Canis lupus familiaris: one gene and its partners. The protein of the gene in region 6 interacts with the protein of the main gene of each other region in a biochemical or structural test. Links are inferred from orthologs where the notes say so. Each region holds a gene or a part of one and is shown on either strand. Other genes may lie near its edges. The genes, in order: TXNIP, FRS2, INSR, CAV1, SIRPA, PTPN11 and PECAM1.

What was found.
Region 1: the proteins of PTPN11 (region 6) and TXNIP are reported together in a solved structure, tested with the Homo sapiens proteins (2 studies listed by BioGRID, with this or other methods). The link is inferred for Canis lupus familiaris from reciprocal best matches to the Homo sapiens genes PTPN11 and TXNIP.
Region 2: the proteins of PTPN11 (region 6) and FRS2 interact in a test that uses a peptide from one of them, tested with the Homo sapiens proteins (2 studies listed by BioGRID, with this or other methods). The link is inferred for Canis lupus familiaris from reciprocal best matches to the Homo sapiens genes PTPN11 and FRS2.
Region 3: the proteins of PTPN11 (region 6) and INSR form a complex in vitro, tested with the Homo sapiens proteins (2 studies listed by BioGRID). The link is inferred for Canis lupus familiaris from reciprocal best matches to the Homo sapiens genes PTPN11 and INSR.
Region 4: the proteins of PTPN11 (region 6) and CAV1 form a complex in vitro, tested with the Homo sapiens proteins (2 studies listed by BioGRID). The link is inferred for Canis lupus familiaris from reciprocal best matches to the Homo sapiens genes PTPN11 and CAV1.
Region 5: the proteins of PTPN11 (region 6) and SIRPA form a complex in vitro, tested with the Homo sapiens proteins (2 studies listed by BioGRID). The link is inferred for Canis lupus familiaris from reciprocal best matches to the Homo sapiens genes PTPN11 and SIRPA.
Region 7: the proteins of PTPN11 (region 6) and PECAM1 form a complex in vitro, tested with the Homo sapiens proteins (4 studies listed by BioGRID, with this or other methods). The link is inferred for Canis lupus familiaris from reciprocal best matches to the Homo sapiens genes PTPN11 and PECAM1.

What each region holds. Positions count from the first base shown.
Region 1 is NC_049238.1:59,433,965-59,437,989, forward strand, and holds the start of TXNIP (thioredoxin-interacting protein), read right to left. Parts: upstream 2,843-4,025; 5' UTR 2,554-2,842; coding exon 2,304-2,553; intron 1,793-2,303; coding exon 1,720-1,792; intron 1,610-1,719; coding exon 1,462-1,609; intron 1,243-1,461; coding exon 1,140-1,242; intron 1,007-1,139; coding exon 750-1,006; intron 658-749; coding exon 501-657; intron 393-500; coding exon 241-392; intron 100-240; coding exon 64-99; 3' UTR 1-63. UniProt on the Homo sapiens protein: May act as an oxidative stress mediator by inhibiting thioredoxin activity or by limiting its bioavailability.
Region 2 is NC_049231.1:11,804,739-11,808,868, forward strand, and holds the start of FRS2 (fibroblast growth factor receptor substrate 2), read left to right. Parts: upstream 1-1,313; 5' UTR 1,314-1,462; intron 1,463-4,130. UniProt on the Homo sapiens protein: Adapter protein that links activated FGR and NGF receptors to downstream signaling pathways.
Region 3 is NC_049241.1:52,466,244-52,469,803, forward strand, and holds part of INSR (insulin receptor), read right to left. Parts: intron 2,837-3,560; coding exon 2,622-2,836; intron 1,677-2,621; coding exon 1,550-1,676; intron 1-1,549. UniProt on the Homo sapiens protein: Receptor tyrosine kinase which mediates the pleiotropic actions of insulin.
Region 4 is NC_049235.1:55,589,287-55,593,354, reverse strand, and holds the start of CAV1 (caveolin-1), read right to left. Parts: upstream 2,828-4,068; coding exon 2,798-2,827; intron 1,541-2,797; coding exon 1,376-1,540; intron 1-1,375. UniProt on the Homo sapiens protein: May act as a scaffolding protein within caveolar membranes. Forms a stable heterooligomeric complex with CAV2 that targets to lipid rafts and drives caveolae formation. Mediates the recruitment of CAVIN proteins (CAVIN1/2/3/4) to the caveolae.
Region 5 is NC_049245.1:19,586,141-19,590,254, reverse strand, and holds the start of SIRPA (tyrosine-protein phosphatase non-receptor type substrate 1), read left to right. Parts: upstream 1-1,273; 5' UTR 1,274-1,328; intron 1,329-1,759; exon of another isoform or gene 1,760-1,797; intron 1,798-2,355; 5' UTR 2,356-2,364; coding exon 2,365-2,443; intron 2,444-4,114. UniProt on the Homo sapiens protein: Immunoglobulin-like cell surface receptor for CD47. Acts as docking protein and induces translocation of PTPN6, PTPN11 and other binding partners from the cytosol to the plasma membrane.
Region 6 is NC_049247.1:10,377,013-10,380,572, reverse strand, and holds part of PTPN11 (tyrosine-protein phosphatase non-receptor type 11), read right to left. Parts: intron 3,273-3,560; coding exon 3,205-3,272; intron 2,695-3,204; coding exon 2,543-2,694; intron 1-2,542. UniProt on the Homo sapiens protein: Acts downstream of various receptor and cytoplasmic protein tyrosine kinases to participate in the signal transduction from the cell surface to the nucleus. Positively regulates MAPK signal transduction pathway. Dephosphorylates GAB1, ARHGAP35 and EGFR.
Region 7 is NC_049230.1:14,719,083-14,722,642, reverse strand, and holds part of PECAM1 (platelet endothelial cell adhesion molecule), read right to left. Parts: coding exon 3,295-3,560; intron 1,248-3,294; coding exon 972-1,247; intron 1-971. UniProt on the Homo sapiens protein: Cell adhesion molecule which is required for leukocyte transendothelial migration (TEM) under most inflammatory conditions.

The DNA of each region.
Region 1 (4,025 bases), on a different chromosome or scaffold from region 6:
GAGTCCAGGAAGAGAGGCAGAAAGAAACATGTTAAGTACAGCTGCTTCTTTTCTTCCACAAGTTCACTGCACATTGTTGTTGAGGATGGAGGGATCCACCTGGAGTGGGGGGAAGAGAAACAAAAGAAACGATTATTTTAGTTTGGGTAAGAACTAAAACAACCACCCAGTTTAGCAGTCCTTCCCATTCAACTTCCTGTAAGAGGCTTAGAGGACAATTTGTAAAATGGCAATGATCACCTCTGTGTAAGTCGGTGGTGGCATGAACTTGAACTCAGGAGCATACATAAAAATAGGGCTGTCTTGGGAACCATCTGTGTCATCTAGTAGAGGAGTAGTGGGGCTCTCCAATCGGTGATCTTCAGGAATGATATCCATATAGCAAGGAGGAGCTAGAGAAAACATAGGCATAAGAAGTTTGGCCAAGAAATGCCTGACCGTCACAATTTCACAAACCCAAGCAGGTCAAAAAGGAAGAAAAAACATTAGGTCTGGCTCACCTTCTGGGGTATCGGGAATATTGAGATCTATCCAACTCATTTCAGAGCTGGTTCGACTGGCCATGCTCGATGTCCGACTGCTCAGACCTGATCTGCTACCGATTACCAGGGGCAGATCAAGGATGACCTTCTTGGAGCCAGGAACACTAACATAGATCTAGAAAGGAAAAATGACAGTTAGTTAGACTAGAGGTTTGGAGAAATGACTATTTTGACAGATGAACAATTTCTTGGACTCCATTCACTCACCAATAAGGAGTATTCAACTCGAAGGATGTTGCAGCCCAGGATAGAAGGCCTGATCTTTTGCACCCGAAGGCTCTTGCCACGCCACGATGCACAGGTTCCTGAAATGATGTGATTGCCTCTGACAGATGACAACTTCTGTGTCAGCACTTTGGTTTGACCATTGGCAAGGTAAGTGTGGCGTGCTACTATGGCAGCTTTGGGAACCATGATGCGCGAACATGTATTTTCAAAGTCAGCATGGATGGAAATTTCATCACCTAACAATGATAAAGACAAAAACTTATTAGCTGACGCTTAATACAATTAAGGACTTCTACCCCTATAGCCTGCCCTCACTCCCAAACCCACAGTTCCTGTTTTATCAGACTACCTTTTTAATTAAGTTTTTACCTTCACAAAATCCTTTTCTGTCAATTCGGGCAGAGACAGACACTTGTCCATCAGGAATAAACATGCAGGAAACTTTCTTCTCCTTTTTAGCAGACACAGGAGCCTGTGTTAAATAGGGGTAAAAAGACATTTTGAGACTTTCTAGAGATCCTTCTCTTTTTTCTTTCTACTCCTTACCTAGAATAGGCAACTTTCCCTCCCACCTTGGTAATCCATTTAGGACTGGATCCCCTGAGGTACATCAGTCTAATGCCTAAGACACTTGACTTACGACTTACCATCCCCGAAACCCAAGAAAACATAATTTTTAAATGAACCTCACCATTAAATCAGGAGTGTTGACATCCACTAAATCCATCACTTCAAAGAATTTCTTTGTCTCTTGAGTTGGCTGGCTGGGGCGATCAAGAAAAGCCTTCACCCAGTAGTCTACACACCCATATTTTCCTTTGAAAGATGTTCCCAAAGGCCTGTGTCAAGAAAAAAGAAGCAATCTAAAACTGTTCTCCAAGAACAGGTGATCAAAGGTGGCGAATTTTAGAGATAAGAAAGTCCAAAGATGCATTTAGTAGACACCTACCCCTGAGGAAGCTCAAAGCCGAACTTGTACTCGTATTTGTTTCCAGGTCTCATGATCACCATCTCATTCTCACCTGAGAAGAAAGAAGAAAGAATAGCCCATCAGGTTTCTTGTTTCACTTCAAATGCATCTGTGTGATAAGGAATTCCTGGGCAGCATGCAAGTCTATTGCAGGTCCCCTATTTTCACCCCCTTCTGTTCTTGAGAGATCCTGATGCATTTCGTTGGGCAAAAAGTTTCAAAGCCTTGCAATGATGAAAGGCTCAACCAGGGCAGTGAAGCTACTACCCTCTCAAACCGGAAACGAGCGAAGAATATGCAACTTATGCACACAGAAAACCTTTAAATAGTTAAGGCAGCATACCTCAGGATCACCTTCAGAACAGAACACTGTAAGAAACTGTACAAATCACCCCCCCCCTTTTTTTAGGAGTCTGCAAGTTAAAACTAAAAAAGGAAACAACATACAAGTCAAGCTACTCAACCTTAGCAGCTTGAAATATTCAGCATAAGCTGCAAGCATTCGTTTCAACTCTATTCTCAAATCAGCTTTCACCCTCCCGACAAACAACGGGGCCACTCACCTGTTGGCTGGTCTTCCAGGAGAAGCGTGTCTTCGAAGCGCAGGTATTCAGAGGTCTGTTTGCACTGTTGGGATCCCTGCATCCACAGGACTTTGGCCACTCCGCAAGCCAGGATCCTGACAGCTTTAACTCGAGTCACTTCGCACACCTCCACGACCACCCGGCCGGCCACTTTCTCCCCGCTGCCATACACCTTTTCAGGGTCGTTAAAGACCACCTCAAAAGACTTGATTTTCTTGAACATCACCATGATTGGCTGGGCTGCCTTGACAGTTATAAACGGGGGGGAGAGAAAAAACAAAACTCCAAATCCAAAAATGCTCTGCAAAAAAATTATTTCACTCTTCAACTCTCCGCTAAGATTTCAAAAAGATTTTGGAAAAAAATGTAAGCTGTGGGTGATGCCGAAGGATCCCCGGGGGAAAAAAAAAAAAAATCAGCTTTCTGTTCTTTTCTCCGACAGCTGGAGGAGCGCCCCGACTCTAGGAGAGCCCGAACGGCCCACCCCGCCAGAGGAGACGGAAGGAGAGTTGCGGGGAGCAGCCGGAAACTGCTTTATATAGTCGCCCGGGCTCGCCCGGCCACGCGAGCGCTAGCCCTGAGGCTCGTGCTGCCCTCGTGCACAGCCCTCCCATTGGCTGCCCGCCCCTTGTTTACCAGGAGCCCAACCAATCAGCGAGGCCGCAGCGGCGCGTGGACACGGTGTGCTCCTGGCGGGGAAAATGGTTGTTGTGCACGGCAGCCTCGCCGGGAGGAGGGAGCGGAGGGGCTGCGGGGCCGCCTCCCTCCGCCCGAGGACGCCCAGGGGAAGCCCGGAGGGAGCGGGCCCTCGCGGACCCTAGCATTTATCACGGGGGGTGGCCGTCGGGGGGCGGGTGCAGATGCTTCTGGGGTGGGAGCAGCGTTTGAAGCGAAAAGAAAATGTGCTTATGTGGGAATTTCGTGCCTAACCTCAGCCAGTGCAATAAATTTAGAGGCGACCGTTTATTTCCGGCTCACAAGTCGCAAGTCCGGTGAAAAATAATCCCTTAACTCCAAGAATACTTCAGAATTGGGGCAGAGGCCAGGGAGCTTTGGTGTGACTGTTGAGGAAGAGCCCCTTTGTCTTTCTCTTGCCCCCGGGTCTCTATCCAAACCCCTAAATACCGTGACAGAAAGGGGAACTTGTCACAAATTGTAAAGCTCTTCTCCGTCGTGGGTGGGCAGCGGTCCGGGGCGCTGCTCGGCTTTCGCGCTCCCTTTCCGGCGCCCCCGAACCTGGAAGCCCCTGTACCCTCTCTCTCCGTTCGCTCTGTTCTCCCTGGAACGGAATCAGGGCGTGTTCACATCCTGTTCCTTTCCCCCTCATCTCTTCAGTTTCTACCTGCAAAGTTGGGGGAACACTTTGTTTCTATTCCCCCAGTTACCAATATATTACTCTTTTAGTAAGGTATGTACTTGAAACAAGATGCTTCCCTCGTTTCACTTTCCTCCTCAGCTGCTTGCACTCTTCCTTGTCTTCATCCCCTCTGCAACTCACCAAATCAGAGGCGCATCTCTAAATCCGTAGCCCACACTCCTCACAGCCGAGTTAAAAGTTCTCTTGTTTATATGATCAAAGTGTCAGTAAAGAGATGGCTGCATTCCTGTTTGAAGGAAGAGTTTCCGTATCTTTTAAAAGTGTTTTTCTAAGCCCTTTATTTTAGAAATCCCAGTGAGGAAAGAAGACAAAAGGATCACTGT
Region 2 (4,130 bases), on a different chromosome or scaffold from region 6:
CCCACTGATGGTGACGTAGGTTGACTTCTATCCAGTCCTACTTGGTACGGGGTACGCTCAAGCGTTTATCATTGTCATCTTGAATTCTTACGACAATCTAGAGGTGATTACACACCTATGCATATATATGCACACCCACACGCAAATGAGGAAACCCGGGCTTCAAGAAGTCAAGCAACTTGCTCCAGGTGAAAAAGTGAAAAGTCCATAGCAGGATGCAGGCAAGAAGATTCCAGAGTCTCCCGGCTCTTGGCTTCTGTTCAAATTCCAAGTGATGCTGAAATATAGGAACATAACCTGCCCTCTGCCCTTAAGCAAAGCGCTTCAAACTCTTGTTAGGAGTAGATGTAAAGGGACGCCTGGGTGGCTCAGTGGTTGAGCGTCTGCCTTTGGCTCAGGGCGTGATCCTGGAGACCTGGGATCGAGTCCCACATTGGGCTCCCTGCAGGGAGCTTGCTCCCTCTGCCTCTGTCTCTGCCTCTCTGTGTCTCTCATGACTAAATCAATAAAATCTTAAAAAAAAAAAAAAAAAGGAGTAGATGTAAAGATTCAATACGCACAACACAAGGTAAAATCGAGAGCCACTGTTTGTGGTATTGGGTTTGGTATCTTTGATCGGAGGAGGAAGGTACAGATAATGCAAGGTACAGATGATAACCAGCACCTCCCAGGGTTCGGGGACGATGCACGGGGTTAGGCACCTGCAGCGCATGACACGTAGTAAGCATCTAGCAGGGAGTTAACTATCATCATTTGGAAAGGACTGGAGAGGGACACCTGGTGGCTCAGCGGTTGAGCCTCTGCCCTTGGCTCAGGGCGTGACCCCGGGGTTTCAGGATCGAGTCCCGCGTCGGGCTCCCTGCATGGAGCCTGCTTCTCCCTCTGCCTGTGTCTCTGCGTCTCTCCCTCTGCGTGTCTCTCATGAATAAATAAATAAAATCTTAAAAAAAAAAAAAAAGGAAAGGAGTCTGGAGGCCGGCTGTGTAAGTGTGCACGCCCGACCCCCGCACCCAAATGCTCCCATCCTCGGCCTCGTGGCGCGTGAAAATAGGCGGCTGCAGCGGACCAAGTGCGAAGCGCAGTGAGGGGCGCAGGCGCCTCCCGGGGCTTCCGAGGGGCCTCGGCGTCGGAAAGGGTGAGCGACCAGCCTGGGGGCGGGCTTAGCGCGCTCGGCCCCGCCCCCGCCCCCGCCCGCAAGCCCCGCCCCGCCCCCCGCAGGCCCCGCCCCCGCAGGCCCCGCCCCCGCCCCGCCCGGGAGGCGCTGGCAGCTCAGCGCGGGAGCAGTTCCGGTGCCAAGACTCGTCCCTCCCCCGCTTCCCCGGAAGTGCTTCTCCCAGGCTCGGGCCGGAGAGAGGCCTTGCAGGCACAGCTGCCGAGCCTCGGTCGGCTCCGAGCAGGGGCTGGAGCCCGGGGTCCGCGGCCGCCCACCCGCTCCCGCCTCCTGCCAGCGCCCGGGCCGGCGGTGAGTGGCCGGGGGGGCGCCCCGGGACGGCGGCGGGGCGCGGCGGGGCTGGGCTGTCGGGCTCCGGGGAGGGGGCTCGTCGGCCGCCGGCGCCCCGGGCGAGTGCGGGGGGCGGGCGGGGCGGGGCCGGGGCGCGGGGTCCCGGGACCTGAGAGCGGGGCCGGGCCGGGCCTCGGCGCCCCGGGTCTCGGCGCCGCCTCCCGGGCGCGCTCTCCGCCGCCGGCCCTGGGCTCGGCCTCGGGCTGCAGGTCCCGACGTTGGTGCCCTCGGGGGCGGCAGCCGGGGGTCCTCCGCGGCGCTGCTCGTCCACACGCGCCGGGGGAGCGCCTCGGGACGGCGCCCCGGGGGCACCGGGTGTGCGGGGCCCGCAGCGCGCCTGCCCCGCTCCCCGCTCCCCGCTCCCCGGAGAGCCTGCTCGGGCGGCCGCTGCAAGGCGTTGAGGAAGACAGCTTGCCGGAGGGATATCAGTACTTAACTTCCCTTATTTTCTCCCACACTTAAAAAAAAAAAAAAGGAAAGAAAAAAGGAAAAAAAAGGGGGGGGAAAGGGAAGCTGTTCTCTAATCGGCGCTCCTGATTGTTGTGGCCACCCCGGAGTCACAGTGGGATGACGGCTTCAGCTTGCGGTTATTGCACGAATTGACGGCCGGAGGTTGGAGAATCACTGTGCCCCCTCTTCCCTGAAGTTTGTATATCTTCATATATGTCTTTTTATTATTTTTTTAAGATTTTATTTATTTATTCATGAGACACACACACACACACACAGAGGCAGAGACCCAGGCAGTGGGAGCAGCAGGCTCCACGCAGGGAGCCCGACGTGGGGCTGGATCCCTGGTCCCCGGGGTCACGCCCTGGGCCGCAGGCAGGTGCTCACCCGCTGAGCCACCGGGCTGCCCTATACCTTCGTATTTTTGGACCTGTCATTTTCCTTAACTTTCAAAGACTGTTTTCTTTCTTTCTTTTTTTTTTCTCAGTGGCTCCTTAGAGGTTCCAGTTGTGCTGCAATGCAGAGGTTGTCACAGGTGGATAGAGGTGGTGTGTGTGTGTGTGTGTGTGTGTGTGTGTGTTAAGCTGCATTTTGAGCTTTACCTCGGATAAATTGAGAATTTCCTAGAGGAGAAAACGATGCAGTAGGTAGGTAGTGTTTTTTAGTGGACTTAGTTCTTAGCTACTAGACTGTGTGTGGGGGGGGGCAGGGGGGAGGTTTGTATGCAACGAGGCTTTTCTGCATTTAATAGTGATTTTTCAATGATGATGGCAAGAGAATGCAAATGCATTCACTGAGGGTTGTGACCGGCTGCAGATGACCATTGCATTTTTTTTTATTTTTATTTTTTGCAATGTAAAGTGCACACAAACCGTTTATTGTGAAGCCAGTGACCCTTTTCCTGTGCTTCTCACCTTGTGCTTATATTAAGATGTATACTGTAGTTTTTTTAGGTACTTATCTCATTCTCTCTCCTCCCACTGCTGAAAGGGGAGGTAATATCCTGCATTAGGGAAAAATAGACTGAAGTGGTGAGTTCAGTGAGCTCTCTTCCTGTGCAAAAGAAAAGTTATTTCAGTGTTGTTGATTTTTCAGCAGGCAAAGGGTGGCTGACTTTTTAGAAATTCTTGTTTCTTTTATTCCTTTATTGATTGTGGTCAAAGGGTGGTTGATTTTTACAGTCCCTGGTGGGGGGAAAAGTTAAATTAGATTTAGACATTGTGGATTCTTAGCCATTTGCAATGCTTGATTGTTTAGAGCTTACGGTTGGAATATTGGAATTGAGAAAACCTGCAAAAGGAGTCAAGTTAGATATGATCATGGATCCATAGTGCAAGTAGGATAGTATGATAGGTTTTTTGATAGTATGATAGGTGTTTTGAAGGAGAAATATTTAAAGAATTGTAAGAGCAGAAAAAGGCAGTTGGGGAATTTCAGGTGCCCTTAGGCTCTGTAAATTTCATTAGGTTCAGGTCCATTCGATAGATGTTGAATATTTGCATTGTAAATTTTATTGTATTATTGAAGTCAATGAGTACTGAATTTTTGCTATGTTAGGCATCAAGCTCTGTTAGGCAACCGCGTAGGAATGAATATACAGCCGTAACCATTAAAATTCATGTTTTGGCAATAATTTTCTAAGGTGTGTCAGAAATCATGAAGAGGTGAATTGTATTGCTTGGGCATATTAAAATTTTTTTTCTAATTAGAGGTGGGTGTTGTGTGTTTTATGAAAAGTACTGTTAGGCATTATAGGATACAAAGATGAAGCATTTGGTCTTTAGGAATTTGAAATCTAGAAGTCCTGAGATGTAAGATATTTACATAAAAGTATGTAAATACTGTGTGAGTGGGATGACCTAAAGTTTGGAGTTCTATGAAAAGAAAATGGGTTCATTTTTAACTGGAGTAAGCAGCTAAAAAGTAGAAAGTGGTGGAGATAAAAGAGCACTCTGAAGCTGTTGAGCACTTGGCATCACGCTTCATGCTGGTCACACTACGTACATTTTCTAAGCTTCACAACGACATAAAAGCATCTTAATAAATAATGAGGGCAATGCTTAAGTATGTTAGGTAGCTGAGCCTCAGTTTGAATCCAGGTCTGCCTGGTGTCAAAGCCTGTGCATTTCCACTCCATCATGCTACTTCTCAATAAACTGGTAGCCTGAGTTTAACATTG
Region 3 (3,560 bases), on a different chromosome or scaffold from region 6:
AGAACATTTTCCTTTTACTACTACTAGCTGACTTTATTGTAAGAATAAGTCTATAATACATATAATATACAAAATACATATCAATCAACGGTTTATGTGATCGGTGAGGCTTCCAGCCAATGGCAGGTTATTAGTAGCTAAGTTTTAGGGGAATCAAAAGTTATATGTGGATTTTTGACTTGGGCGGTGGTCAGTGCCCCTAACTTCTGCATTGTTCAAGGCTCAATTGTACTCAAAATGAACAAGTTTTGCTTTTTGTATTTTTGTGGGTTTTTTTTTTAAGATTTTATTTATTTATTCACGAGTGACGCAGAGAGAGAGGCAGAGACATAGGCAGAGAGAGAAGCAGGCTCCCTGTGGGGAGCCCGATGCAAGATTCGATCCCAGGACCCCAGGATCATGCCCTGAGCCGAAGGCAGATGCTCAACCACTGAGCCACCAAGGTGCCCCAAAATGACCAAGTTTAATGGAGACAGTTTTAGTTTGAGAAGATGAGAAAGTTCTAGAGATGGATGCTGGTGATGTTTGCACAACACGGCAAATGTACTTCATGCAACTGAGCAGGACACATAAGCATGGTTCAAATGGTCAATTTTACATTAGATATGTTTTGCCACAATTAAAGGTTGGATTTGCTTCGACATGAATGGAACTGGAGGGTATTATGCTGAGTGAAATAAGTCAATCAGAGAAGGACAAACATTATATGGATTCATTCATTTGGGGAATATAAAAAATAGTGAACGGGAATAAAGGGGAAAGGAGAGAAAATGAGTGAAAATATCAGTGAGGGTGACAAAACATGAGAGACTCCTAACTCTGGGAAACGAACAAGGGATGGTGGAAGGGGAGGTGGGCAGGGGGTTGGGGTGACTGGGTGACGGGCACTGGGGGGGGCACTTGGCGGGATGAGCACTGGGTGTTATGCTCTATGTTGGCAAATTGAACTCCAATAAAAAAATAATAATAAAATAAAAATAATAAAAATGAAAATAAATTCTTTAAAGGTTGGAAAAAATAGAAAATGGATACAAAAATAAATTTTTATTTTTTATTATTTAAAAAAAATTTTTTAATTTATTTATGATAGTCACAGAGAGAGAGAGAGAGAGAGAGAGGCGGACACACAGGCAGAGGGAGAAGCAGGCTCCATGCAACGGGAGCCCGATGCGGGATTCGATCCCGGGTCTCCAGGATCGCGCCCTGGGCCAAAGGCAGGCGCCAAACCGCTGCGCCACCCAGGGATCCCCAAAAATAAATTTTTAAAGACCCACTCAGCGAACTGAGCAAATTTTGTTACGGACGTCTTGTTGAGGTGTACGTATATGAGGCAAAATGGAATATTGCCGTAGGAACTTGGCCAAAAGAAACCTGTTTCAATTTCTGGTTTTGACAAATGAGGATGTTACTAACTTCACATGCCATCAGCTTGTGAGATGATAAAAGGGATCCTGTAATCGCTATTCCACAAGGAAGAGAGAGAGAGAGGCACCTCAGAGGGGAACCTCTGAACACACACAACCCACACACGTCTATACCCTTTACTTACGCCTCTTTGTAGAAGAGCATGAACCCCAGGAGGTCTCGGAAGTCAGGGGGCCAGTAGGGCTCCCATTTCAGCAAGATCTTGTCATAAGACGTCCGAATGTAAGAAAATTTAAGTAGTTCGTTTTCACCTAGAAAAGTTTAAAAACATTAATGACATCAGCATTAAAAACTTGTTTCAGGCCCCAACAGGTGACCCAACATTTCCAAGAGCATCTGGGAGAAGGGAGGTGTCAGTCTGCTGCTCCCCGGATGGGTCTCACCCCCACAAGCCTCCTCCTGGTGTTCGGAGGCAAGAACTGGTCACACAAGTTGGTCCCCACGCAGCCAGATGCTCAACACAGGAACAGTGGTCAGCACCGAACTGAGAAGGACAACTGGCCGATAATTATTGGGAAAAGTGATTTTTCAAGAGTGACGACTGTCCTGGCACAATTTTCTCACACACGTGGACTTTCAAGCCTTCCTTGTCAGAATATATGACTCCAGTGCAAACTGAATATGGGCCAAGTGAGTTTAGAGAGCACGCAGGCCTTGGAGAGACGATGCCTTAGAAAGAGTGGGATGCAAGCCCCCCCCAAGCTACACCCCAACCTTGCTCTCTCTCCCTCTCCTGAATTCCCACAAATCTGCGGCAAAGACCCAGCTCTTGGAAGCCTTGGCACCTTTCTGCTCTGATATTTCCTCGAGAGAGAACCTGTCAGAGGAGTGAAGTCAGCTGGTAGCCTCCAGCTATGCAGCAGCTGCAGGACCTGCTGGAGCACTAGAGCCAAGGTCACCTATAAGGAGAAATCCATTCATTCATGCATGCATGCATTCATTCATTCATTCATTCAATGCAGATGTGACATCTTCCAAAATCAGGCACTGTCTCTCTGAAATCACAGAGATATGATAGACCTGTCCTTGGCATTGCAGAAATAGAACTCTGAGCTGCTTTAGCTTGGGGGGGCAATGACACCTGCCACCAACTCCACCCCACCCCACCCCCGCTGAGGGCCAATGCAGTGCTCAAGGAGAAAGACAGCCGCCTTATCTGGTCCTCGGGCTGGAAGGACCAGGACATCACCACTTACAAGACGCCTGGTCCCCGTTGGTCTTCAGGGCAATGTCGTTCCTCTCCTGGCGCCCCTTGGTTCCTGAGACTTCCTCCATCTTGTGGATCTCAGACAAGCAGAGTTTGGGATTATAGTGGAAGAAGAGTTTCCCCTGAGTGATGGTGAGGTTGTGTTTGCTCCAGTCCCATAGCTGCCTTAGGTTCTGGTTGTCCAAGGCATAGAAAGAGTAGTTCCTACGGGAACACACACAAACCTTGTCATTCCCTGGCTTGTCACAGGCAGAGAAAAAATGTAAGAATCCTCCTCTTTCACTTTCCTAGTTTGAGTCCACGTCAAAATAACATCTCAGATGGAACAGTTTCAGTAAAATGCATTATTAAAATTCACTTCCCTGATTCGTTTTGAAGACTTTAAAATGTGGCCACTGGATCGTTTAAAGTCACACGTGTGACTTGTGTCACATTTCTTTCTTTTTTTTTTTAATCTTATGGGGAGGTACTTTGAGACTCTGTAAATATCCTGTTACTCATCAAATTTTCACCATTTAGCATCTATTCATGTCTGAATTGATTAGTACTCACTGATTTTTTTTTTTTTTAAGCAGGCTCTGTGCTCAGTATGGAGTCCAATGCAGGGCTTGAACTCACAACCCTGAGATCAAGACCTGAGCTGAGATCAAGAGTCAGACTCTCAACAGACTGAGCCACCCAGGCACCCCTGACTTGTACCATATCTCTAGTGGATGGTACTGGTCTAGTTCTAGGACACCTATGTAGGGGGTCATAAGCACAATCCAAATGAAAGGTCTAGACCTCAGCAAACAAGGCCATTTTATGGCAGAAAAATCAGCATGAGCTGGTGAACGATTCAAGAAGGTGGTCTAAACAGTTCAGTGCAGTGGCTTCTCAAATGCCACTCATAGTCCCCTCTTCTCTGACTTCCTCTACTATACAGATC
Region 4 (4,068 bases), on a different chromosome or scaffold from region 6:
TTGTCCAAAGCTACATGAGAAGGAGAAAAAGCAAAAATGTCTTTCCCTCTCTTTAAGGTGACGCTTTTAGTAAATCGTTTTTAGCAATTCTAATTTCAAGTTTATAAGCTACTTTTTTTTTTTATTGCTGCTGCTTTTAAATATTTCATAATCTGGCTAGTAGAAAAACCTACTAATGCTCCAATTTTCCTTTTTCCTCTACCAGCAAGCCAAGAGAGTCAATTCTGACAGTTACATTTTCCTTCCCGTTACAGGTTAAATTGTTTCCCTTTTTGAAATAAATTATTCATAAATGTGCATAGTCTCTGAACTATGGCTCTTCCCAGCCCCAGATAGGAGACTGGGTAGGTGGAAATTGCTCATCTGCCCCATTGGCTGTTCTGGAGTTGTGCAGAACTGGGTCTTCACGCTATAATCTTCCAGGCCAGGATTTTCCTTGGCCCTCCCCACTCCTCAAAGAAAACCCTCTGCCAAGAATGGCTCAAGCCCATGATTTCCCAATCCAGATGGATTCGGACAATAAATTTCCCTGACTTAATTTGCTAAGAGGGTCAAAGTTGAATAATATAATGATAATCAAAAATTGATCACTGACTCAAATCTAAGTTTGGCCAATAGCTCATTCAGATGCCTTATTATTTTTTTTTAAAAAAATCACCAAACACATTCTGAAAATATAAAAAGGAACTCCAGCCTGAGTGTCTCATTAACTCGGGGAAGCCTGACCCAGGCAGTCACTAAAGAAGTGACTTTATATACCTAGCTAGGGGTGTCTATGGGAGAAATCCAGAGGCGCTCATTATTTTTGGTTGTGGAAATTAGCTTGGTCGTGCACGAGTACCACTTTTTCCCCCTCCAGTTAAGATGCTCTCTCTCCATATATGTGATATATAATATATCAATCTGAAGCATTTTTACCCACCTTATTATAGTTAAGAAAATAACTTGAGGTTACCCTGATTTGAGCTGGGACAACCTGCCCACTCGGTATCCCATAGATCATCGAGCCACAAAGAACTTACACAGTGACCTTACTTGCTTTAATTCTAGGTGCAATAGGGCGCCCCCCTTCGCTAGAGTTTAAGCCTGGGAACAGGCAAGAGGGTGCCCCGCAGGGCCAAGCGCCTCACTCGCCCAAGGAGCGCGGGCCAACCTGTCGCGGAGATCTGGAGGTGTGTTGGCCGGGGAGAAGTGGGGTTCTAGGAGGAGGGCAGTCAGCGAGATTCCAGCCGAACTAGCCGGCGGGGTGATGGGGGAGGGCAAGGTGGGGGGACTGCGGGGCCCCGCGTCCTCAAGCGCAGGAGGCAGCGCGCGCGGGCCCAGGTAGCGGAGGATGCTCGGAGCGCCCCGGGGCGGGCGGGGCCGCCTCCCCTACCTTGACCACGTCGTCGTTGAGATGCTTGGGGTCGCGGTTGACCAGGTCGATTTCCTTGGTGTGCGCGTCGTACACCTGCTTCTCGCTCATCTCCTCCGCCATGGCCTTGTTGTTGGGCTTGTAGATGTTGCCCTGCTCCCGGATGGGAACGGTGTAGAGGTGCCCCTGCGCGGGGTGGGGGGGGGACGGCGGGGTGCGGGAGGGGGGGGCGGAGATGGGAAGAAAATGTCAAAAAAGGCAATGCCAGAAAAAGGAAATGTCAAAAAGGAAATGTCAAAAAGGAAAACGAGCGGTGCGGCGGCCCTGGAGGTCGCCCGCCAACTGGCCGCTCGGGCGCCGCCGGCGCTTAAGAGGATGGAGGCGAGGACACCACACCCCTCGGTGCCCGCGGGGAGCCCCGGCCTCCGCCGCCCGCCGCCAGGGGTCAGCGCGCACCCGCGCCGCCCCCGCCCGCGCCCGCCCCGCGCGCCCCCCAGCGACCGCGGGGACCCGTCCCCGGCTGCGGGGCGCCCCTCCCCCACCCTGCTCTCCAGAAGCTCTCCGGCGTCTCCCTCGGGCCCGCTGGAGCCCCCGGGACCCCCCGGAGGGGCCCCCTTTCTGCCCCTTTCTGCCGCACCTCCCCGACACCTGCTGGCTCGCCGCACTCTCCGCGCCCCCCGCCCCCGCGGGGCTCAGCGTCCCGAAAGCGCCCGTGTCGGGAGCAGCGCCCCCCGCCCCCCTGCAGACCGCCCCGAACCGCGACCTCGCACCTGCCCGGCGCCCCCGACCTCCCCGACCTCCCGCAGGTCCCTCCTAGGCCGCCGGCGGGGCGCGGGGCGGAGGGCGAGTTTGGGGAGCGAGATCCCCGCGCGGACGAGGGGTGGCACTGGGAGGGGAGGGCGGGCAGGGACAGGAGGGGAGGGGAGGGGAGGGCAGGTCCCCCCTCTGCAAACACCCCGCCGGGCGCCGCGATGCTGGAAGGGTTCTTGAGGCGGCCCGAGGGCTTCGGGCGGTGCCAGCCGGTCCAGGCGCCTGGCGGAGCGGCGGGGACGGTCCCCCGGATCGCGGGGGGATGGCGGCGCACCCCGCGTCCCCGATCGCAGCCCCCCAGCGCGCAGGGGCTGGGCCGTGCGGGTCCCGACCTAAAGCAGCGCCCCGGGCCCGCCCACGACCCAGGAGCGTGCTCTGGTCCCCATCTCGGGACCCCGGGGCGCCCCCCGCCCCCACTTTCAGCCTCCCTCTGGTTTAGGGCCCGCCGGCCCCCCTTTCCGAAGAGCAGCCTGGACGACATTCCTGCCCCCTCTTCAGCTCCCCGCCCAGGCCCATTCCTCGGAGGTGCCCGCGCCGGGGGAGCGCCCGGCGGCCGACCGCGGGGGGTGGGGTGGGGGTGGGGTGGGGGTGGGGGCGCCCCGGGGGCTCCCCGCGCGCACCCCGCGAGCCTACCTCGGAGTCTACGTATTTGCCCCCAGACATGCTGGCCGGTGGCTGGGTGAAGGCTCCGAGGTTTCCCTGGGCTGTTATTCAAGGGAACCGAGGAAGGAAGATCTTGTATTGTGCAGGGGGGGGGGGGGGGGGGGCGGGGAGGCGCAGGCGGGGGGCGGCGGCTGGGAGGGAGCCTGCTGGCCGCGGGCCCGGGGCTTGCCGCGAGCGCCCGGCCGGGACCTGCGCGCCGGGTCCGGGCACATCCCCGGGGTTCGGCGGCGCGGGGCGGGGAGCGCGCGGGGAGCGCCCCGCGGGGGTGGCCTAGACCTGGGGCGCACGTCCCCGGGGGGCTCGCGGCGGCGTCCTGCGGGGGCGCGGGGTTGGCGCGGGGCGTCGCGCTCCTCCCCGCGCTCCTCCCCGCGCATCTGCCCGCGGAGAAGCCGCCTCCCCGCCCCCATCCCCGCCCGCCCAGCTCTCCCCCACTGTCACCGGGAGGAAAGGGACGAAAAAGGGCGCAGGACTTTTGGGCACGATGCGCCCCCGACGGCGAGCAAGCACACGTGCGCGCGCGGTGCAGGTGGCGACGCGCCGGCTCACACCTGGCGGCCCCGGACAGGACACACAGACACGCGGAACTCCAGTTTCCCCGCCGCTTCTGAAAGCCCCCCCTGCCCTGCCCCCCAACCCTCTGAAGCAAACGAGAATGGCAGGCTTCGCCCATCTTTCTGGAACTTTCTGGAAACTTATGCCCACACGTTGTGCCACATTTCCAAAAGACGTAAAAATATTTACAGTTGTAGGAATATTTAGTGGGAGCTTCAAGTTTGTCATAGAGGACTTTTTCTTTGCACTTTTTCTAATTTTTTTTTCTATTTTTTTTTTTTTTCTAATGCACTTGCCCGTGCGTTAGAGGAGACCCGGTTCTTCTAGGAACCGATCTGAAGTTTAACAAATCGTTAGCAGTTATTTGCAAATGTTTTCTCTATTCCTGAATGTGCGGCTGCTATCTTTTTATAAAGCGTACGCCTAAGGTGAATGGAACAATAAGCAGTAGTTTTACATCTGGGCTATGGAGAAGTCAAGAAGTTCACTGTCTTTTGGCCTGTGGCTCCATATGCAATCAGAAGGAGAACTAGAGGGGCGGCCCGGGTGGCTCAGCGGTTTAGCGCCGCCTTCAGCCCAGGGCCTGACCCTGGAGACCCAGGATCAAGCCCTGCATCAGGCTCCCTGCATGGAGCCTGCTTCTCCCTCTGCCTGTGCCTCTGCTTTTCTCTCTCTCTGTGTCTCTCATT
Region 5 (4,114 bases), on a different chromosome or scaffold from region 6:
CCTCAAGTCTGTACAATCAGAAGAGCAGGCTGGCAGGATTGCAACCCAGGGAGACTGCTTCATGCTCTCAACAGGTGTGCGCTGCCTCCCTGTCTTAGCACAACACCCTGTCCGGACACTGACAGGGAGTCTGGGGTGGGGGCGGGGGTGGAGTCACTTTGCAAAGTTCTGCAGCCTGGAAATCCCAGATTGATATCTTGTTGTTACTCCAGGCCTCGCTGTTTGGCCTTAGGCAAGTCCACTCCCTCTCTGGGCCTCAACTGCTTCTCTGTTGATAGGACTGGCTCTTTCTCCACCTCGCTTCATTCATATTCTCCTACAGGCCTTGTGAAGAAAATTGGTCATAGCTTATTTCCAAGCCCAGATCCCTCCAATGTGCAGAGGGTCCTGGACTCCTCTGATGCCTACCGTGTGGTATCCCTTTGCCAGGTGGCCAGGGCACCCCCAGTCCCTCTCACTGACCTGGGTGCTGTTGGGAACACAGCTTTCCCTCAAGGAAAAAGAGAGAGAGGGAGGTGGGGGTGAGGGGAAGAGAGAGAGAGAGAGAGAGAGAGAGGCGCTTCACCAGGAAGCTCTGTCCTGTCTCCAGGCCCCTTCCCCTGCTCTCCCTACCTCTCATTCCCCCACTCCTGCCCCCCATCATCTTCCGGGAGCCCAGGCCTTCAAGCCCCACCTCTCCCCCACACCCCGGCCTGGGCCTTCTGCACCCCCTGAATTGGCTCTGCCTGCCAGAGAGCCCGCTGCCCCTGGTTGGTCGGGACCCTGCCCCTCTGGCTTCTCGGCGGCCACAGCCCCCCTTGGCGTTCCCTCTCCTCCCTGCTTCCCTGCGCCTCTTTTCCAGGCGGTACTGAAGTCCTTCCTACACACACGCTATTTTTGTACCATCACTCTCTCCTTCCTCTCCCCTTCCCCCTACATTCACTTACTTCCTGCTTTTCCTTCACCTCGGCCCAGCTCTCAAAGAGCCGGGCCCCTGGAGCGCGCGCCTACCCCCCGAGGGGCGTCGGGCTTCGGGCCCAGGGGCAGGGGCAGTCCCCGAGCGGCCGAAGGCGGGCACCCCCGCCGCGTCCCCGGCCCCCTCCCTCCCGCGCCGCCTCCAGCCGCTCGCCGGCCGCCAGCGGGCGGGAAGCGGGGCCCCGCCGCGCGGCCCGGGTCCGGAGGCGAGGGGGAGGCCGGCCGCAACTTCCCCGGTCCACCTTAAGAGGACGATGTAGCCGGCTCGCGGCGCTGACCTTAGGAAAACAAGTTTGCGCAAAGTGGAGCGGGGCCCGGCCTCTGGGCAGCCCCCGCGGCGTTCGCCCTGCGTCCCAGCCCCCGCGGCGGCGCAGGTCCGGGCGGAACGGGGCGCCGCGACCGGGACCGGGACCGCGACCGGGACCGGGACCGGGACCGGGGCCCGGCAAGCGGGAGGGAGCGGCGCGGGCGCCCGAACTGGCACCGCGTTGCGGCCGGCGGCCCGTCCGGTCCCGGGCGCTCGCGGGGCGGCGGGCGGCGGGGATCGGGGCCCGGCGGGAGGGCTGGGGCCGACGCAGCCCCCCGCCCCCCTCCCCTCCCCTCCCCTCCCCGCTCCTCCCCTCCCCGCCCCTCCCCCGGGCGCGCGGCCGGCGGGCGACAGGGGGCCGACGGGCCCGAGCCCCGCAGCCTCCCCGGGCTGGCGGGAAGGAGGGAGGCGGGGAGGGAGGGCGGGCGCGCGGGAGGGGGCCGGGCTGCCGGGAGGGCGGGGGCAGCGGCCGGGACTGCGGGCCGGGAGCGAGCCCCGCCGAGCCGCCGGCGCCGCGAGGAGCCCGGGAGGGGCAGGTGGGCAGCGGCGGGGGCGGCGGGGGCGGCGGCGGGGCTCGGCGGGGCTCGGCGGGGCTCGGCGGCTGCCCCTCGCCCCTGCGCGGTCCTCCTCTCTCCCGCGCTGGGGCCGCGATCCGCGCGCCGCCTCGCGCGCTCCTCTCCCTCCCTCTCCCTCCCTCTCTCCCTCTCTCCCTCTCTCCCTCTCTCTCTCCCCCTCTCCCCACTTCCCCTCTCCCCCTCTCTCGCCTCTCGGCGCCTCTGGCTCTCCGCCTGGCTCCCTCGGGTCTGTTTCTCTCTCCCGCCGCCTCTCCCTGGCCGTCCCCGGCTTGATTCTCGCGCGCTCGGGGTCTCTCCCCCTCTCCGCCTCCCGATCTCCCGGGGTTGGGGGTTCCTCCGAAAACCGCGGCGGCGACGGCGGCTCCTAAGCCGCTCCAGGCGCCTGTTCCGGGGAGGTGGGGGGGAAGCCCGGCCGGGGGGAGGTGGGGGGAGAGGAGGGGGAGCCTTAGTCATTTCCCCGCTCCAGCCTGCGCCCGCCCGAGCGCGCACTCACCGCCGCTCTCCCTCCTCGCTCCGCAGCCGCGGCCCATGGAGCCCGCCGGCCCGGCCCCCGGCCGCCTCGGGCCGCTGCTCTGCCTCCTGTTCGCCGCGTCCTGCGCCTGGACAGGTAAGCACCCCTGCCCCCGCCGTTGCCGTTGCCAGACCGGGGACCCAGGCCTGCCGGAGCGCCTCTGGGAGCCACTGGGCTAATGTCCAGCGGTAGTAAGGGGAGACGTGTCTGTAACCGGGATTACAGAGGCAGAAACTGAGGCCCAGAGACGGCCAGCCACTTGCCCAAGGTCACACAGCCACGGGTAGGACCCACTCTCCGTGGACTTTGATCGCGGGGGCATCGTGCTGGGCACTGGGACATACCCAGATGAATTGGTCCACCCAGTCCCTGCCCAGTCTGATGGGGGAGGCAGGCTGTCAGCAGCTTTCAGAGCCAGGTGCCCCTGGCTTCTCCAGAAGCTCTTTCCCTGGACTTAATGCTCTTGACAGTCCGACTTCGGGGTCTGAGAGAAGGGGGTAGAGGCAAAGGTCCCCCAGGTACTACCTGGAAGGGGACAGAAGCAGCCTATTGCAATGAGGGAAGAGTGAGCTCTCCCTCTGGTGTGCAGAGTAACATAGTGTTGGTGTGTGTATGAGAGACAGAGAGGAAGGGAGGCCGCAGTAACTCTGGGTGAGCTGCTGTGATCAACAGATCCCGATGCGAAAGCGCTGGTGGATTGTCCCTGTGCTTGCCAAAGCCTCTTGCTGGATGGTCTGCTCCTGGCTGTTCTCTAGGCTCCCCCACTTCCTCCTGCCATCCCCCCCCCCCCCCCCCCCCCCCCCCCCCCCCCCCGGCTTCCAGGCAGCTCCCTGCAGTTCAGGTGCTCCATGGGGCTGTTACCTGTGGCTCTGAGCATGTCTTTTTGTTGGCTTACATCAAACACCTGGCTGTCTCCAGCAGGCGGGCTCTGAAGGCTACCGTGTGTGTGTTCGCCAAGGGGTGAGGTCACCATTCAGGAGTCCTGCATCTTAAAGGGGTTTTGCAAAACCATGGGTCTCCTGGGAGGGCACAGGCAGCAGAGTAATGGCTTTAAAGGAGTTAGGGTGGGGAGACGAATGGGGATCTTGTTTTTTGGCTACTTGAAGCTGTGTGGTAGGCAGAGGGGTCTGCATCACCATCCTTGAGGAGGGAGGTAAAGATGAGCTCAGTACCCACCTCCCGTCCACCCCCCCCCCTCGTGCCTTTTGCATTTGCCTAGAGACTGGTAACCATCTGATAGCAGTGAGGAAGGGAGAACTGGCAGAGTGGGTGGAGGGAGAAGTGGGGGTGGACAGCAGCTTCTCTCTGCCCTGCAGTCTCCCCAGAACCCCAGGAATCCGCGTAGGCATCCCCCCCACCCCACCCCACTCCACCCTGGGTCTTCCCGCGGCATGTTCCATGTTCGTTGGGTCCTGGCTGGTAGGAAGGAAGCACTGATACATTTCATGTCTGCCTGGTGAGTGGCATCTCCGATCTGCTCCTTCCTGCCCGAGCCAGCCATTTACACCCTGCAAAAGTCCCAGTTCCTGCCCCCACGTCCTGCCTGGCCTGGCCGGGAAATGCACAAGTGTCTCTCGCAAGTACTTAATTTTCCTGAAACAGGGAACTGGGCCCACATTAATTTCTAAATGTCTATTCTAGACCCTTCTCCAACCAGGACCCTGTGGTTCAGTTTCTGGCAAATGACCGGTGACACTGATTAACAAGTGTTCGGATGGGCAGCCTGCCTTTCCCGGGGTCCTGGCTGGGAACGCCAACACCCTTCTT
Region 6 (3,560 bases):
CTACCAGAAGAAGGTACTTCTTAATTCTACCACAAAATCAGGTAGTAAGTTCATACATGGAATTAAATGGAACTACACGTTATAGGATCTCATTTTTAAAAATGAATAAGCCAACCCATCTTTTTTTTTTTTTTTTTTTTTAATTTATGATAGTCACAGAGAGAGAGAGAGAGAGAGAGAGGCAGAGACACAGGCAGAGGGAGAAGCAGGCTCCATGCACCGGGAGCCCGATGGGGGACTCGATCCCGGGTCTCCAGGATAGCGCCCTGGGCCAAAGGCAGGTGCCAAACCGCTGCACCACCCAGGGATCCCCCAACCCATCTTTTTAAACTCTGAAGGCTCAGATCCCAAAGAGCAGTTAATGTGCTAATAAGGACAATATTGGCACATATTGGCACCAAAAAGTACTGGCTGAACGAATGAATGCATGCATTCATTTGAAGCACTCTTCAAATAGGATTATCAGTGACATCCAGTTTCGATATTCTATAAGACTTAAATTATCAAGGAATATGTTCTGCTTTTTTCTACCCCCTCCTGACCCTGGGGTGATAAAGCTTTTTTTTTTAAGATTTTACTGATTTAGGGTAGCTCTCTCTGAATGAATAAATAAGTAAATCTTTAAAAAAAAAAAAAGATTTTACTGATTTATTCATAGAGACACAGAGAGAGAGAGAGAGAGAGAGAGAGAGACAGGCAGAGGGAGAAGCAGGCTCCATGCAGAGAGCCCGACGTGGGACTCGATCCACGGTCTCCAGGATCACACCCTGGGCTGCAGGCGGCGCTAAACCGCTGCGCCACCAGGGCTGCCCGATAAAGCTATCTTTAAAGGAGTTCTTAAATCCAAATTACATCTTGAGATTTAGGGTCAGAGAGACTATATACGGTAATTCAGAAGATCTCAAGTGCTGTAAGGCTGGGGAAGTCCCTACTAAAGTTGCCAAAACAAGGATAAATACCAAAACTTCTGAATGAAATAAAGAGAGCTTTTCCCCTAGCTTTTCCAAACAAGATTATATGCTTCAAGATATTCCTGAATTTGTACCAATAGTGTGCTACATTCTCTTTGTATTTATTAGGAGGTCTTTCTATATGGGCAACTTCATGTTTTATTCCTGGCCCAAATTCAGTATAATTGGAAGACAAATAGAAAATAGCCTATAGCAACCATCTAAATATTTTGTAACAATTACGATAACACCAAATCAGATTTAAAGCACTGAAGGTCAAAACTGGTACCATGTTGATTATTTGACCTTATATTTCTATACGTACACCGTTGCTGAAGATGTTTTTGTACAACGAAAACAATCTAGTGTTTTGAATTTTTTATTAAAGATTGTATTTATTCATTCATGAGAGACATAGAGAGAGAGAGGACAGGCAGAGGGAGAAGCAGGCTCCATGCAGGGAGTCCGACGCAGAACTCGATCCTGGGTCTCCAGGATCATGCCCCAGGCTGAAGGCGGCACTAAACCGCTGAGCTACACAGGCTGCCCCTAGTGTTTTGGATTTTAAGATCTTATTTATTTGAGAGAGAGAATGCAAACGAGCAGAGAGAGGAGCAGAGGGAGACTCTGCACTGAACACGGAGCCCAGTGCCAGGCTCAATCTCACAACCCTGAGATCATGACCTGGGCTGAAATCGAGAGTCAGACACTTAACCGACTGAGCCACCCAGGCACCCCATAATCTAGTCTTTTTATGTGAACTGAGAACCTACTAAGCTGACAGATATCTTACTTTGGCTAATGAAGCTTTTGATAATGTGGCTGCTATTCTGCTAGGCTAGAAGTCTCTCAATTCGCTGGCAGGTGCCATTCTGAGAAGCCGGGTTCTCTGGAAGGCAATACACAGGGTAAAGTAGGCAGATATCACTGCTGTTTAGACATTCCCCTGTCTGCAGCAGAGCAGTTGGGGGTGGGGGGGTGGGGGGGAGATGCCCAGATCCCCAAAGGAGCAGTCTCCTCATTTCCCTCATCTCAGCGTATTCTTAATTAACTCAGCTTTGTGTCTGTTATGAATAGCTTCAAATGGAAATGCTCCAACTCCACATTCTTCTTCATTATGCATGGCTTATTAAAATTGAAATTTCACTGTTTCCAACTCAACCAAGTTTATGGTTCAAACTGCTATGTGCTATGAAGAGTGAAGCATTTGTTTAAGAGATGGGATCAGGATAAAGATGGCCTGGATCTAAACAGGAACAGGCTGGAAACTTCAAGGCTTTCATTTCCAAACTTGCCATGTGAGAATCCTGGGATGTTGTCTGGGAAAATCCTAACCTTTCCACGTGGCAGTTCCCCAATCTGCCAGGCCAGGATGATAGCAGCTATCTCCAAGCTACCCTCTGCTGAAATACCAGAGTTGTGAAGTGGGGAATAGTTTCCAGAGAGGCCCTTCCTGGTTGGGAATGAGTTTCTCATTCCTGAACAGTAACAGCTATCTCTTAGAGGCCCATCCTGCTCAAAAGCAGAGTGTATCAGAGCTGCCCAGAAAAGAAAGTACAAATATGCACACCAGCCCCCTCCAGGATTGGTACCTGCTCTTCCTCAATCCTGCGCTGTAGTGTTTCAATGTAATGCTGGACAGCCATATAAATGAATCGGTACTGTGCTTCTGTCTGGACCATCCCTGACCTCTGAGACCGCACCATCTGAATGGTTTTGGGAACATCAATGTCGCAGTCAACACCTGCAAAGCAAGCACCATGAAGCATTAGGAGAAACTGTGGGGCCAGGATGAAGTGGTTTAATGCACAACTTTTAGCAGACTCAGAGATATAGTAAATGTAGTCTTTTTTTTTTTTTTTTTTAATTTTTTTTTAAATGTAGTCTTTAATGTTCTAACTGAACATGTTTCAAGGGCTACACTGCCTTCTGACTAATACAAATGATTCCAGAAAATGATCTGATTAAGTATCGGAGGTCAGGACTCTCCATCAGCACCACCCCAGAGACCACCACTGCATATTCAACAAAAGACCACAGCAGCGGGACCACGGCTCCTGGGCTTCATTTTATGTCAAAGGCTCAAATAGAATCACTTTTGTTCTCCTATAAACAACTGAAAGTCAAAGTCTTCAGCCCAGATTTTTAAAAATGTTTTAACATTCAAATTCTCTCCTCCAGGCTATTTTCACTAGCACTTTCCTTCCATAAACTAAAAAAGAACTTACAACTTCTTGCCCTCCAGATGACCCACCTTTCTCTCTGATGATGTCAATAAGGATATCAATCACAATGAACGTCCCTGTCCGGCCAATCCCAGCACTGTGGACAGAAGGACAAAGAGCAATGACGCTGGAGCCATTCATAGGGGTTTTGGACTCAAACCCACACTATTAATATGAACAGAAACAATGTCTGCTCTTGAGAGTATTTATAAGACTGCCTGTTTGTATTTGAGAATAGATTAGCTAAGGGCTTTGGGGTTAGTCCAATCCACACGTGGAGCCCAGCTTCTCTAGGACTTCCCAAGGCAAATCCCATACCTCTTTGACCTTCAGTTTCCTCATCTGTGAAATGCAGATAATGGCACATACTTTACAGGGTTGTTGT
Region 7 (3,560 bases), on a different chromosome or scaffold from region 6:
AAAACCAGGAAAGGGAGGAAAGAGTCCAATTGAACTATTAAGTGCATGGGTTTGGAAGTCGAATGGACCTGAGGATAACTTTTGTTCTACCATCTGGTAATCCTGTAATTTCTGGGTGAGTGACCTAACACCTCAGCCTTAATTTCCACATCCATAAATGCAGAATCATGACACCTATCTCATAGCATTGTTATAAGCATGAAATGAAAATGTATATAATCCAGTCATATAGTGTTCAACAAAAGGGAATTGTTACTATTGTTTTTTCATTTATTAATGCTTTCTCACTCCTGACCCTATCTTAGGACCTATGTCTGGGATCTAGGCTAGTGCTTGGCACATAGGAAAGATAAATGTGGTATAATAATAGACATGTTAACTAACATTCACAGAGTGCTTCTTCCGTATGAGGCTCTTTATTTTTTTTTTTTAAATCTTTATTTATTTATGATAGTCACACACAGAGAGAGAGAGAGGCAGAGACACAGGCAGAGACACAGGCAGAGGGAGAAGCAGGCTCCATGCACCGGAAGCCCGATGTGGGATTTGATCCTGGGTCTCCAGGATCACGCCCTGGGCCAAAGGCAGGCGCCAAACCGCTGCGCCACCCAGAGATCCCCGTATAAGGCTCTTTATAGCAGAGCCACATCACTTAGTCATTGTAACAGTCCTATAGGTGACTGCTGTCATTATCCCCATCTCATAGATCTGTGCCACAGAGAAGCTCAGTAAGTCACCTAGTAATGAGTGACAGTATTGGGATTTGATGCCAGAACTTGCACACTCAACCACCACATTTAACTGCTTACTGGCTCAGCATTGACTTTTTCACTTGAGCACCACAACCCCATTTGAGTACATCATTCAGACAAGCAGGAACAGAACTATCAGCCCTCACTGGCCATTCTGGATTCCAGCATGGTGACTGCTTAAGCCCATCATATTCCCACACCCTCCAGCAGCAGCCCTACCTGTTATGTTGACCACGATGCTGCTGACCTTGGATATCCGGCTGGCTTCCACTTTGCATGTGTAATTGCCATTGTGCTCCGCCATGGCCATCACTGAGTAGGTGGCTTCGTTACCATGCCTCTTGTGTGCTACAATTGCCTTGTCCTTCTGGATTATGATTTCTGGAAATGCTTGGACCAGATGTGTCACTTGAATGGTGCACCTAATGTAGAGCTGATCTCCTTCTGTGATCACTCCTTCGGGGCTGACGTGGAATTTGGGATTAGAGAAGGATTCTACAAGAAGAGGATAAACTGGTTGGACTCAGGCTCAAATCTGGACAAGAGGAAGAGGCACTTATGTCCTCCCCCCTTTTTTTTAATCTTTTTTTTTTTTTTTGCCAATTACTGTCCTTCCTTATTAATTAAAAAAAATTGAAACTTTCCTCTCAAAAACCTTCTCTTAAGTTGCTCTAATGCTCCCTCCCATCTTACTCTTTAATAAGTTTCAGGTGTGAATCACGAAACTGAGATGCCAAAAGGAAAAAGATGGATAGGTTTGATTATACAGAGATGAAACACTTCTGCTTGAAAAGCTTATAAAATAAAGACAAATGACAAATGACAAACTTGGGCAAATATTTGCACAGTACTCAACAAAGAGTTAATGCCTTTAATTTATAAAGGACTCAAACAAATCAATCAGAAACAGTAAAAATGGGCCAAGTGCATACGAGCAGGCAGTTTATGGGGGGAAATGTAGTAATTGGTCAATCAACACAGAGAACATACTCGACCTCAGTAAAAGCCAAAGAAATACAAATCACAAGAACAACAATATATCACTGTGCCTCAATTAGATTGACAAAAAAATAATGAAAGTAGATAATACTCTGAGAGCAAGGTTGTGGGAAAATAAACACTAGCATCACTTTTGATGGACATGTTCAACCAATCTGAGGAGTGCTTTGGTAATACATATCAATATTTAAAATGCACAAACATTTGAATCAACAACTTGACTACCAGAAATCAATGTCATAAATAATAATGAAATAAAATATTTGCAAAAGTACAAATGATAAGTGTAAGTGTGTGTATTCCAGGGTTGTTTTAATAGCAAAAAATTAGGAAAATACCCAAATGTTTACCACTGGAAAAATAATGGTACTAGTAAATTATGGTACATACCTATAATAGGATTCTGAGGTACCACGAAAAAAAAAGACCTACATCTGTATTCCTTGATACAGACAAAAGTTTGTAACATATTGATAAGTTAAAGAAAAGTTATAAAACAGTATGTTGGTCAGGTTGTGTTTTTTGTAAAAACAAAGAAAAACAAACAAAAATTGTGTGCGTGCATGAATGTATAAGCAGAACCAGTCTGGGACCTACAAGTGATTTTCTCTGAGCAGTGGTACTATGAATGATTGTCACTTTATCCTTTACATTGTGCCATATTTTCTGAAAACTGAACCCACACCATGTATTATAATCAGAAAAATATTACATATACATAATTTCATACCTGTATATATGTGTGTGTGTGTATATATATATATACACACACACACACACACACAATGGGCAGAGGTGAAAATAGGTACCAAAAGCAGAAGGGTATTTATGACAAACTTTGAGGCTCCTATAGAAAAGACTTGAGGCTATCTGCACTAGAGTGTGCCTTCCCTTGACTCTTCTCGGCTCACGAGTCCTTGTCCCATTCTGCGGGTTGCCTGTCCTGGAGCTCTCTTGATCCTGGATACACAGTCCCAGGCTTCCCTCTGCTATTGTCTTTCTCACTCCAGAGCACTCCTCAGGCCACCTCATTTATTTCTTATTTGTCCAACATCTTGGTGATAAGGGGTGGGTAGAAGAGGGGAGTCTTTTATCAAATGTGGGAGGCAAAGGCGGAGGACCTGAACTCCCTTCCCTCCCTATCCCCTCCAGACTCCACCTCCTGGTGTCTGACCCAGGCTTGGGGGTTGTTGGCTTAAAGCCATGATTTCCAAGCTGCAGGTTACACAATGCATCATTTCACGGAGTCATGGCCAGTGTTTTAAAAAACTGAAATACAAACGAATAGAAAATGGCAAAATGCCTCATATATTAAGTATTATTTGAGAAACTTTTGTTTGGGAAATTTTACATGTACACACAAACACACATATACACACATATATTTTAAACTATAAACATAGCCTTGAAGTGGTTAAGAACAGTCTTGAAAACAGAAGCCCAGCCAGAAGGCCCCACCCCCCTTCCTGATTTCTGGGGTCTTTCTCCCCATCCCAAACCAGCAAGGCAGAAAGAGTGATAAAAAGGAGAGTAGGACTCTAACCCGTCACGGTGACCAGTTCACTCTTGATGGCTCTAGAGGTCTCCATGTGGGTCCCAGAAATGATCCTGGCTTGGCACTGGAAAAATATAACGTGGTCCTGTTCCTCCACTGTGAACTCCAGCATCATGAAATTCCGGTTGGGAGAAGTTTTTTCTCTTTTTTGCTTGAAACCTTTCGTATCTAGTTTGAGTTTTTCAATTGTGAAATGTATCGGGGGCTTTTCCTCTGGGACAGAACAATTGACCTTCACGACCCCGCCTTCTATT